Drosophila melanogaster: one gene and its partner. The protein of the gene in region 2 purifies or fractionates together with the protein of the main gene of each other region. This does not show direct contact. Each region holds a gene or a part of one and is shown on either strand. Other genes may lie near its edges.

Region 1 (5,930 bases), on a different chromosome or scaffold from region 2:
AACGAAAAAGACAGGTAGCCCTTGACTTTATGTTTTCCCGCTCACGCGAATAAAACCAACCGATCAAGGTCGTTGGCACCCGCTTTTTCCACCCACTCAATCAAGTTACTCTCTTTGGCTCGCTGCTTTATCCGTTTTTTAATCGACTGCCTATTTTCTATGTGAACTTTCTTTGCTGCCTCCGCCTCTGACTAAATCCCCGAACCAAAAAAACACTATCCGCTTGCCTCGCGCCACTTGATCATCCAGCCTGCCCGCCGTGGTGGAGCCCACCACTTCATCCAAGCCGAAGCCGCCGCACAAGCGCCACATTCTTCCATCGATCAATGTCACCACTCCATCAACGTTCACCACCCAGATCATTTTGGCACAGGCTACGCCCACACCAACGCCCACAGCGGAGGAGATGAAGCTGGAGACCCATCTGTCATCCATCTCTAGTGCTTCCTCATCGCATTCATATGCCTCACCCCCACAATCACCCCGCATCTTCCAGCAAAGCTACGAACGCCTGACCACCAAGAGCATTTTGGCCAAGAGCGGCCATAACCATTTTGGCCACCAGAGCGATACCAATAACTACAGCATCGACGGCTACCTGCATGGCTCCTCAAATGCTAGCTCCTACTCCTCCTACTCCGCATCAATGACGTCCTCATCGCTGGTCTCGTCGGCCCAGTCCAACTCCTCATCCATCGCGAGGAGGCCAGCTTTCGAAAGTCGTGCTCGCACCAAAACCGATTCACTGAAGTATGCCCGCTAAAACCAAAAACCGTTCCGATAACCGTTTTTTTACCGTTTCGCTAAGTAAAATCAATCGTTTTGCGCATGAGTTTTTCAAGGAGTTCGCATGGATAGTATCGGGAAATCCGTTTTTGAGATATTATTTTTGAACCTGTTAACTATATTCTTTCGGCATGCCTTAAGCTCAATATAAAATATTAAATCTTTGAAATATTTTAGTTTAATATAAAAAGAACTTTTATACAAATTTAACCAATTCTCAACAGACATCGTCAGCACTCCCTTGGAAATTCGCATAATTCGGAATCAGCTGAATTTCAATCTATTATCGAACGAATGGCCAGTTTGGGACCCAATTCCCAGCTAAGCAAGGGTGCAGATGAAAATCTTTTGCTGTAAGTAGTTCAACTTAATGTCGAAGTAATAAAAACAAAGACTCATCTATGAATATAATTAAAATTATTTTCAGAGCCGATTATGTCACCTGGAATGGACCCAACACGAAGCTTCTTCAAAAGCAGATCACTCAAGGACCTAATGCTAGTCTTCTCACAGATCGCACCTATAAGCCAAGGGGTGGGAAATCGGAACTCTGCAAAGGACCCCAGTCCGGATTGGCGAAGGGCAGCATCTACGCCCAAGGCAGCAACAAGAGCGCCAACATCAAATGCAACTAGGCGGGAGTATCTCATCTGGAACCTCCCCCAGAGTGCCAAAGAAGTGAAGATGAATCTTAGTAGCCAAGCACCACCCTCCACATGTTCAGACTTACGATTTATATATGTCGTAGTGTTTTTTGCTCTTATCCTTAAACACCTACCAAATACCACACGAGTACGTAGACTCAACAAAAAAAAAAAAAAAAAAAAAAAAAAACGAAGTCACATTCCATCCAAGCTCCAATTGTTTTTAGTAACTCGTAAATAAACAAACTTTAAAACTAACAAACTTATTTAATATTAATGCGCGTCTGGAGAAAGGGGATTATGGGGATTATGGTACAAAAAGCACATGGGTGTAATCTAGACCTCGTCCTCGTTAAGGAGCATGTTTGGTATACCATCGCTGATGGGAAACACACGACCTGTCTCCGGGCACTCCAGTTGACCCTCGAGCACGTCGATCTCGAAGAGCAGATGGTGAAGCTTCTGCAAAAGCAGTTCATTCTCCACAATGTTTTCAGGCTGAACGGCAGGAATGTCTTCTGTGAGTTCCGCCTAAAAAACAAATTCCAATTATTAACGAATATAAAAAATAACAGGTTTTAATAGTTTAAAACTGATTAAAAATATTTGAAACCAGTAAATTTGAAATCAGTAACACTATTTAGAACCATTCTATGGTTCTTTTAGAACCATTCTATCACTTACCACCTGAGCAGCTCCATAGACCGCTGACCAGTCCAGCTTGGGAAGGATTCTCTCCACAAAAGTTGGATTAAATTCGCTCTCCACCACTTCCTTTTTGTTAATCTAAATGCAAAAACAAATAGACCGTGAAACAATCAATAGCCAGGACTTGGGACACCGGAACTCACCGTCAGTTTCAGGGGAAATCCCACTTTGACGCCCTTGATGGCCACGGAGGTCAAGAAGTTGTATGTGCTGAGTTTCATTTTCGGGCTTGTAATGGTTTAATTAATACAAAGAGATGAGGTAAACAACAATGTTTTTAAATAATAGTTGCGGTGCACGTTGTATTCCTTCTTCTTCTTGCTTTAAACATTCACAATTGGTGTATGTCATCGATACCACGATACACACTTGTCGATGTTTTGCAGCAGTTGGCAACGCGAGCAGTGTGTTAAATATTTAAAACGTCCACACTGCACAAATTTTAATTGGAATTCTCACAACTGTCGCATTTTAAGCGTTTAAATCTGTTTCTAGATGTAAATTAGGTTGGAAAACCTATAATATCAGTGACTGCGAGCGGAATAAAGGAGTGAGGAGTAAAAATGGAGGACATATTCCACTGGTGCCGCGAGGGCAACTCGATTCAAGTGCGCCTCTGGTTGGATGAAACGGAGCACGACAACAATTTGGGGTAAATCCAATAGAGGCAACTAACTCCATCACTTTCTAGTTGCTTTATAGTGCACTTAGAAAGTTAAGCCCTCAAGTAGCAACCCCCTCTACCAGGAACGTTTACTTAGTCATCGCCTAAATACGCCCAAGATTTCGAGGGTCTTTCAAGTCTAAGTGACGTCATGATTTATTCTTGTGTTGTGTAAACAGACGAATCAAATATATAAGTATACGTATGTTCATATTTGCCTGTGTGCATATCGCGAGCATAAAACCCGCTTGCCATGTTTATATTGTTCTTTACTTATAATTAGTCTTATAATCCTTTAAAAAGGACCATACCTAACTCTAAGAGCATAAGTATATAAGGTCTATAATGCTCAAATTCCACCATAATTAAAATAAATAAAACAAATAAATTCGTACACTTTAGAGACGACCATGGCTTCAGCCCGTTGCATTGGGTGGCTAAAGAGGGCCACGCCAAGCTTGTGGAGACTCTGTTGCAGCGCGGTTCGCGTGTGAACGCCACCAATATGGGCGACGACATCCCACTCCATTTAGCGGCAGCTCATGGCCACCGCGACGTGGTCCAGATGGTGAGATAAAACAGAAACCAGCTAGGTAACTTATTTAAGAACTTATCTGCCTCTACAGTTGATAAAAGAGCGCAGCGATGTGAATGCGGTAAACGAGCATGGAAACACCCCCCTGCACTACGCCTGTTTTTGGGGCTATGACATGATCTGCGAGGATCTGCTTAATGCGGGAGCCCAGGTGGGAATCGCAAACAAGGACGGGCACACACCTCTTGAAAAGGCCAAACCCAGTCTGGCCAAGAGGCTTCAGGATCTTGTAGAAAAGAGCGGCAGAGAGGTTAAGGTTATCAGCTTCAAGGAACAAAGCTGGCAGGGATTGAAGACGAGATCCCGGGATGCTACTTTGTCCCGTTTCAAGGGAATCAGTATGGGAGACCTAGACCTGCATACCAAGCTGTCGGTGACGCCATCAGGAGAAACTTGGCGCGGACGCTGGCAAAAGAACGATGTGGTAGCTAAGATCCTGGCCGTGCGTCAGTGCACGCCTCGTATATCGCGAGATTTTAACGAGGAGTTTCCCAAGCTCCGCATCTTTTCGCACCCTAACATTTTGCCTATTATTGGAGCATGCAATTCGCCACCCAATCTGGTGACAATTAGTCAGGTGCGTTGAATTTAAATAACTTCAGAAATGACCGTATAAGGTAACCATTCTATTTTCTTTAGTTTATGCCACGTTCTTCGCTGTTTAGCCTGCTGCATGGAGCAACTGGCGTCGTGGTGGACACCAGCCAGGCGGTAAGCTTTGCCTTGGATGTTGCGAGAGGAATGGCTTTCCTGCACTCGCTGGAGCGCATTATTCCAACATATCACCTGAACAGTCATCACGTGATGATCGACGATGATCTGACGGCGAGAATCAACATGGGCGATGCCAAATTCTCTTTCCAAGAGAAGGGACGCATCTATCAACCGGCTTGGATGTCGCCGGAAACATTGCAGCGCAAGCAGGCGGATCGAAACTGGGAGGCCTGTGACATGTGGAGCTTTGCTATTCTTATTTGGGAGCTGACTACGCGCGAGGTACCCTTCGCCGAGTGGTCGCCCATGGAGTGCGGCATGAAAATTGCGTTGGAAGGTCTGCGGGTCAAGATTCCGCCAGGCACATCGACGCACATGGCCAAGCTGATTTCAATCTGCATGAACGAGGATCCCGGCAAGCGGCCCAAGTTCGACATGGTGGTTCCCATTCTGGAGAAGATGCGCCGCTGAAGGAGAGGGGCAAATTCAATAAATGCCAAGCCAAAATGTGCCTTGAGAAACCTTAGATTTGCCAACTAATTGTAATTACTACTTTGTGTTACCTTTGTCTAACTGAGCCTAACCGAAAACCGTACCGAAATGGCAAAGCAAGTGCAACTGCTCTGTCTAGAGTTTATGTTTCTGTGTCTCACTGTTCTCTACTTATGATTTTCCGTCGATGTTTAGTGCGGGTGCTCGATTTTTTACTTTTTAAGTTCAATAACCATTATGATCGTATTTATACAGAAATATATTTGTTACTAATTAATCAAATCGATCAAATTGATTGTGTACCAAAGCAAATGCGGAACCACTTACGAGGGCTTTAGTCCACAGAGCTTATTCGCTGAGCAGCAAACAAGTCGGGAGCTTTCCGCCGGAGTGGGTGGCAATGCATCAGCGCAGCGGGTCGGGTAACGTGAGCACGGCGGCCCTGACCTGGTTTTCATTTCAGCACGCGATTGTGTGCAGCTCGCGTGGGCAGAGCAAACTCGGCGCTTCAGAAGAGCGCGCCGGCGTGAGAAACTCGCGGCGAGAATGGCGCAAATTTGTTGTATTTGCTCGAAATAATTTATATTTATTATCCAATATGTTTTCATTTATAGGCTTAAGGAAAGTGTGGTATTAGTTATTGGCTGATTTGCCAGTGACACTTTTTATCATCCTTAAGATTTTGTTTTGCTAACGTACTTTATATTATTTAAAATCATCTTTTAATGTTGTTTTATTTTCTTTTCTAAATTGATGTTTAAAGCTCTTAAATTATATTAGACAAGGTACTTGTGATTTCTTTTTATTTATTTTAGCTTATAATATTTTGTTGTTCTAAACGATAATTTTGTTATTTTTTGTGTCATTAAATATCGAAAATATTTGGCAAATTATGATTTACATACTAGGATGAATCATATTTTTTCATAAATAGAAAAAAAGATTTTTATATTTAAATTAAAAATACGTTTTTATATGTATTTTCTTATATATAAATTTATTTATATTTTTTTACATTTAAGCCAATTTGTCTCTCGCTTTCTCCAACCTCTCTCTTGGCCTGGCTCTCACCGGCTAGTGGCTCTCTGTTTATGTTTTTGCGGCAACGCTTCATTCGGGCCAGAATGTTGTTGGTGCGGTAAGCTTGCACTGAGCCATGTGATTGTTTTGCTGGCTCGTTCTTGCCTTTTGCCGCACACATCCTGTGGCAGGTCTCTTTTTGTGTTGGTGTTGCTGCTGCAGCTTTAAAAACTTTTTGCTGCATTTTGTTGTCGCCGTCGTCCTGTCGCTGTTGTAGTCGTCGGCGCTTTTCGGGCCCAGAGGCTGG
Region 2 (6,732 bases):
AGTAAGCGCCCAACGGCCGGACACTGCCGGCCAAAAGTATGCGCCCATGTCCGTGTGCTGACAGCTCCATAAGAGAGGATGTTATATTTCTGTTGCCAACAGTCGGATCGAATTATTCGGTCCACTTTAAGCCCACTTGAAGCTATTCAATCAGCCGACAACTCTTTCGAACTGTGGTCGTTCAATTCCGTGAGAAAGGGACACAAATTAGTGAGGGCAGGCAAGTGCCATCAATTAACTAGAATCCGGATCGATTATTTGCCGCTCCTACGCACATTCGCACATTGGCATGGATAACATTTAAACGAAGTAAACACTTAATGCGAATTTATGGCCGCCAAATGTCCAATTTGGAATTTAAGCGAGCTTGGCAATGAAGAATTTATGGTTTTTGGTCGCTATTGCGGTTAGAATTTTACATAGAAAATCGAACTGCAAAGTTCAATATAATTTTATGAAAGAATCGATTACCTAACAAAGGACACTTCTCAGGCTTTGATTTTGCTACACAATACAATACAATGCCTTAATTGCAATCATATATTAATATGAGTGGAACTGAGCATAAACTATGTATTTCCAAACATTTTGGCCACCATTTCAAAATTAGCACAATTTGCGCCGAGCTGCAAAAGTTTGTCAGCAGGAAAAAAAGGCAAACAAAAAGTTAATTAAAACAAAAATTACGGACAGTGGCCGGCGGTCGTTTGGTGGCGACTGTGCCGCAGCATTAGCAGTGCAGCCAAAAATGCAGCCGAAAAATCTGCGCGCCATCTAAAACAAAAATTAATTTTTGGGCCAGGGAAAGTTTTTATTTCCCTCCCATTGCTGTTGCTGTTGTTCTTGTTGTTGTTGTTGTTTGCTGGCCAGGCGAGAGTTTGCATTGTTTTGCATATTTTATACGGCGGAAGTGTATACGGCAAAGGCACTCGCCATCATGCCAACTACCCCAACCCAAAAAAAAAAAAAAAAAAGCGAAAAAAATGGTATGTGCAACACGCAAATTATGCAGGCGCATAAGACAAACTTTCTGTTTTGCGGATTCGACAACCGGCGGGATGAAAATTAATACGAAAGCCAAAAAACGGGGTTGCCCCCCCACCCACACAAACATCTAGTTCCTACGTATTTCTGAGATCCAAAACTGCATCGGCAACTGGAGCACCGCAGAGTAATTAAAAATACAGCCAATGGCCAGAGCAGAAAAACCCCGAGCAGCTTGTACTGAAGGAGATCATATCGGCCATGTTTGCAGCCCAGAAATCTGAGTCCCTTCAAAATTTGCATCTAGCATCCATCAAATAGATAAAATTGAAGAAATGTCTCAGCTTGCAGTTCTAATAAAAACTATTAAAAAAGAAAAGAAAATTAAACTAAAATGCATTAAAAAGGGTAAAAGCCAACATGACTATATTGAATTGATATTTTATTAAATGTGCTCTAAGCTCATTTCTTATTGCACTGCAGTTTTCAGTTTATAACGGTATAAAATTCTTAAGTGGCTAAGTAATAAGAAACAGACTTACTTTATTATTACTGTTTCTATATTGTTTTCTTTCGGTTCTAAGCGCTTAAAATAGCTTATATTGTCCCAGACTTTTTGAGATTCAGGCACACAGCAAATGGCTGCCGAATTGCAAACGCGATTTAAATGGGTAATGCCAGGACATGGCGATTGTTTTATAATGCAACGTCCCCACTTTCCACTTTTGCGCCTGCAAGCTTATTACAACGGTTAGCTTTATATTTACTATCCCAAGTCGTGTCCTTACTCACTAATATATCGAAGTTTACTTTCATGTGTATATGGTGTGAGCAGCAGAAGTAAGGCAAGAACGTAAAATATAGCGAAAAAAGTCATGATGTCTCACTTCACATGGAGATGTGATAAATCATATTAAAATCTTATATGCGTCAACGAGATGGCTGCATTTAAGATATTAATCAACTGTGTAATTAACTAATCAACAAAGCGCCTATTTCCAAGTCGACAAACCACAGATTTCATGCTTTAGTTATGCCTGTTTTTTGTCTTTTCGATATAATTCAAACTGGTTTCGACACTGTAGTGAAGATGCTGGAGAAAAAGCGAAATACTTTAAACAAAATCAACAAAACCCGGTATTGAGTTTGGGTTCGATTTGTTTTTTATTTTTTCCTGTCTGCCGGCAGTGGCGACAATCGAAAAAGGCAAAAACCAGCCCCCAGCTATTATTCGGATCCCCCATCACCTCCAACTCGCCCACATCCACATCGATCGATCTTGCTGACGCTGCGAGAGATCTTCTCAGTTTCTCGAGACGATCGGACGACGCACGACGCATTCCGCACTTTGGGTCTATTTTCGTGATTAATTTCGAAGAGCGGAGACGTATTCTAATAGGAACCCATGTTCCATTCTGTAACGTGAGTGCCATATAATCTGCAGAAATCAGTACGAATTCGTCCAGATACTCAACAATTTTACGCATACAGTATGAAAAGCCTTGGTGTTTTCCTACAAAAATAGGTCAAGTGCAGTGTTTGTGTAACATAGTGACCTAAAAAACGTTTAAATTCGTTTTCATGTGGATGAAAAGTGCTGAAAACTGACCGAAGAAAAACATATGCTAACAAAAAGTGCAGTTGGCGCAGTTTGAGAGCTACTGAAAGTGGCTGCCAAAACAGTTTTAGAATTACTCTGTAAGTAATTGTGGTTCATTACTTAGTTTTAGACCAACTACACGAAAAATATATAAAAATAAAAATAAATACATTTTACAACAATATTTTATATTTTAATTTAATACATAAATTAATACATAATTTAACATAATACATAATAATAATGTTAAGTCCTTTAAGACATTTGAATATTTCATTAATCGAGCAAAGTAAAAATAAACAAAATTATATCAATATTATTAAAGAATGCATGTTATTATAAATTCAATAAATAAAACACGTTACAATTAAGTTTTTACCAATCACAAGTAAACACACTTTCTACATGTAGATATGATAACATACATCGAACGCGCGTAAAATTTATGTTGGTACCTTTTTATCAACAATTGTTTGGTGAGCTTTGATTTCACATTCATATATAAGTAGATACAAATGAATAATGAACATCTTTTTTTTTAAATAATATAAATATAAATATTATTTAATAAATGAGCTCAATACTTATTATTCGATTAAGTCATTTACAATATCTTACATTGCTTCCTGTCGATGTAAAATTACATATTTCTACTTGTCTGGCAGCCCTGAAATACATATAACAGATATAATAGCTCACATTACAAAAAAATTGCTTACAAAATTTAAAAAAGCATAGAATTAGTTTGCCAAATTCTTTTACTATTCTGCTTTTAGAAATAAAAATTTATTGACTAACCTTCAAAATAATTAATTAGAAATGTATATTTTGTTCTGGTATTTTTTAGGGCGTATTAGGAATCAACGAAAATGAGTCAGTCTTGTATACCAGTGAGCGCAAAGATGTCGAAGGCAAAGAAGGTTTTGGATGAAGCCCGAGAAACTCACAATCCCGAGTTGGATTTGGCCGACAAGGGGCTGTCGTCCTTCGAGGAGTTGCCCGGACTGTGTAAGTATCAAAACCAAAGGATCTTGAAGGAATTATACGGATTTTTGCACTTCTGAGTAAACATAATGGTGGGTTACTTCCACGCAGAATGGAGCCTCGCCCAGCTGCTAAAAAAATTGTAAATTAATAATATTCTAGCGTATGTATTTATGTTGTGGTAATAATATTCATTTAAAATGAGTCTAAGCATCTTTTTAAATGGAGTCGCTTAGTTTTATTTATTGTGATGACGCCAGCAGCAAAATATGCATAAGTTTGAGTGTAGAGAACGTAAACAAACACTGTAAATACCGCAAATAAGATGTGTATACATATCTGGGAAATGTACTACAACTCCATAACTATGACTTCATTTACATAAAATTAGAATATACTACAATTATTAATCTTAAAACCATTAAATTTTTGAGAAAAAAAAAACATTGCGCATGCCTCTGCTTATATTGTTGTCCCGCTCCAACATTCGGCGTCTATACTTGTTGCCTGCAATCAGCTGTTTGCATTTAAACCCAGTGGTGAATTCACAGTGCATTGGACAATTATGAAAAACAATCTTTGATATCACGAAAAAGGAAAAATATGTATTTTAAAGAGTTTAGTATTCTTATTAATATAATTTTTTTTGCAGTCAACATGTCCAACATCACGCGCTTGACCCTGTCCCACAACAAGATCAGCGTAATCAGTCCGGGAATCGCGAACCTACTGAATCTGGAGATCCTGAACCTCTCGAACAACCAGCTGACCGAACTGCCCGTTTCGCTGTCGTCCATGCCAAAGCTACGCATCCTCAATGTGTCCATCAATCGGCTGATAAATCTTCCTCGCGGCTTTGGAGCCTTTCCGGTGCTGGAAGTGCTCGACCTGTCCTACAACAATCTCAACGAACAGGTCCTGCCTGGTAATTTCTTTGGTATGGAGACACTGCGTGCTCTGTATCTGGGCGACAATGACTTCGAGTATATACCGAAGGAGGTGGGTCAGCTGAAGAATCTGCAGATACTCGGATTGCGTGACAACGATCTTCTGGAATTGCCCCGCGAAGTTGGGGATTTGGTGCGACTGCGGGAGCTACATATTCAAAACAATAGGCTGCAGGTGCTGCCACCAGAGATCGCCCAGTTGGACCTACTGAGCAACAAGTCGGTCATGAAGATGGAGGAGAATCCCTGGGTCAATCCCATCGCCGAGCAATATCTGCTGGGCATTAGTCACGTCATCGACTACCTCAAAACGGAGACCTATAAGATGTGAGTGCACCATAGATCCATATATCCATAAATGTATATTCATCTGATCCTTTTCCTTGACAGCATCTACAACCGCCACTTGCAAGCAGGACGCAGTGGACCGCCGCCACCCAAAGCTGACAAAAGCAAGAAGGCCTCTCGAATTCGCGCATAGTGATTCTCCACCAGAAGATCCCAAGATCCCATGGAATTACAAATGTGTTCGTCTCGTTCGTTGTTAACCAAACCCGTTTTCGTATACTAATTTATAAGTACTTTTAAACTAATGCGTATTTCTGCAATGTGCCTTGACCCTTAGTTTCACTAATGAAAATAAAACAAAATAATAGATGCATATATGTATTCCTGCTGGTTTAATTTCGGATCCTATGCGCAAAAGAATCGTTAAATAAAGACACGCTTGTATATTTTATAAAATAGTAGGTTTTTCTTGTTTTTATTATCTTTTCTCATATTCATTCTTCTTTTTTAAGAAATTTGTTCATAATCATAATTAATTAGTTTACTTAAAGTCAATTAATTAATTCTTTATTTATTTTAATTAAATTAATAGTTAAATGTTTTTTGTTTTTGTTCTTTGTTTTCTATGTTTGAGAAAAACTAAAAGCATAGTTCTGCTTTGTTCGCTTTGAGTTTGTTTCGTTTCTTTGCATTTTTTCACTTGTCAATTTGAATTGAATACATTTTTTTTTTATCAATTTATGTTATTTAATTATTTTGTAAACGTATTTCGCCTTCACTGTATCTGCAATTCAAATTTAATTTATTCCTTAAAGTATATTTTAGTATTTATATTTATATATTTTTTATAGAGTTTATTTACAAGAGTTAAAGATGTTCTTTTACGAAAAGTCTGGCAGAAAAACAAACAAAAATGTAAATTCATTTATTCAGTAAATTTCTCCAAAATGATAGCACGGAAACGTCTTGTAAATTCGAATTGAGATAATTCCATAGCTATGCGTCACGATATACAAGTTGGATGTGCGAATGGAAACGAAGACAAGGGTTTCAAAAATAATATCATATAGCTTTCAAGCTATAAATGTCTTTTCTTGGAGTAGTACATCAGTCGGGACTCCGTGAGTAGTTGCACGATTAGTTCTTGAGCATGCAAATACGAAACACAGACAAAAACAAAAAACATAAACTAGTAACCTATGAGACTACAACAAAGCAAATTACAAGCACTCGATAGTATCATATATGCATGATCTATGCACTTTAAGATACTTACATAAAAATAGATTTATATGTTGGCAGATATACACGTATATGATAGATAACATTAAACATAATCATCATTGGCAGTTTTGCTACCAGATTGCTAAAACATAAAGCTTTAAACCTAATACTAATAAAAATTGACAATAGAAAATTGTACCTAAGATAGTAAAAATACATGAAATATAAAAATTAGTTACTTCGTTTGCTTTTTCTGCACAAGGAAAATGTATACGGAAAACAATCAAAGCCACGTTCGAAAGTCATACAGAAAAATGCGTTCAGCAACAAATGAATAAGTTTGGATTGTTTCCACCGTTTTTGTTTAAGTCTCGCTTCTTTATTTAATAATTATGGATTTCATACTTTTTGGTTTTCATCGTTTTTTTTTTGTTTTGCTAGTTTACAAATGCAATTTTGACGGCTTTAAATAAACGTTTAGCCTTCGGTACAGATAAATACAATTTAAATGCTTTGTTGTTTCCGTTCTTTTTTTTATAATGACGCTTAATTAATTCGCACTGTTTTTGTTTATTTCATTTTTTTTGTACAAAACACATTTTGTTATTCAAGTGTGTAATTAATTTTGTATTTCGGCCTAGCGCTTAGAAATCTCACCGACATATAGAATGCTTTCTCATACAATTAAACCTTAGTTTTTCTTCA

What was found. Proteins that work in one complex are often made in the same cells at the same time.
Region 1: the proteins of ics (region 2) and Ilk purify together in Drosophila melanogaster (affinity purification with western blotting, with the first as the bait; one study listed by BioGRID). This does not show direct contact.

Annotation. Positions count from the first base shown.
Region 1 is NT_037436.4:21,214,363-21,220,292, forward strand, and holds Ilk (integrin linked kinase), read left to right. Parts: upstream 1-2,538; 5' UTR 2,539-2,701; coding exon 2,702-2,790; coding exon of another isoform or gene 2,791-2,794; exon of another isoform or gene 2,795-3,204; coding exon 3,205-3,370; intron 3,371-3,428; coding exon 3,429-3,974; intron 3,975-4,036; coding exon 4,037-4,582; 3' UTR 4,583-4,878; downstream 4,879-5,930. Other genes in the region: CG10508 (uncharacterized protein), read left to right, coding at 1-14, 250-750, 1,011-1,139, 1,214-1,421; Trmt112 (tRNA methyltransferase subunit 11-2), read right to left, coding at 1,767-1,961, 2,115-2,216, 2,282-2,359.
Region 2 is NT_033779.5:13,637,970-13,644,701, reverse strand, and holds ics (icarus), read left to right. Parts: upstream 1-2,099; 5' UTR 2,100-2,682; intron 2,683-3,429; exon of another isoform or gene 3,430-3,431; 5' UTR 3,432-3,453; coding exon 3,454-3,592; intron 3,593-4,220; coding exon 4,221-4,842; intron 4,843-4,905; coding exon 4,906-4,996; 3' UTR 4,997-5,255; downstream 5,256-6,732.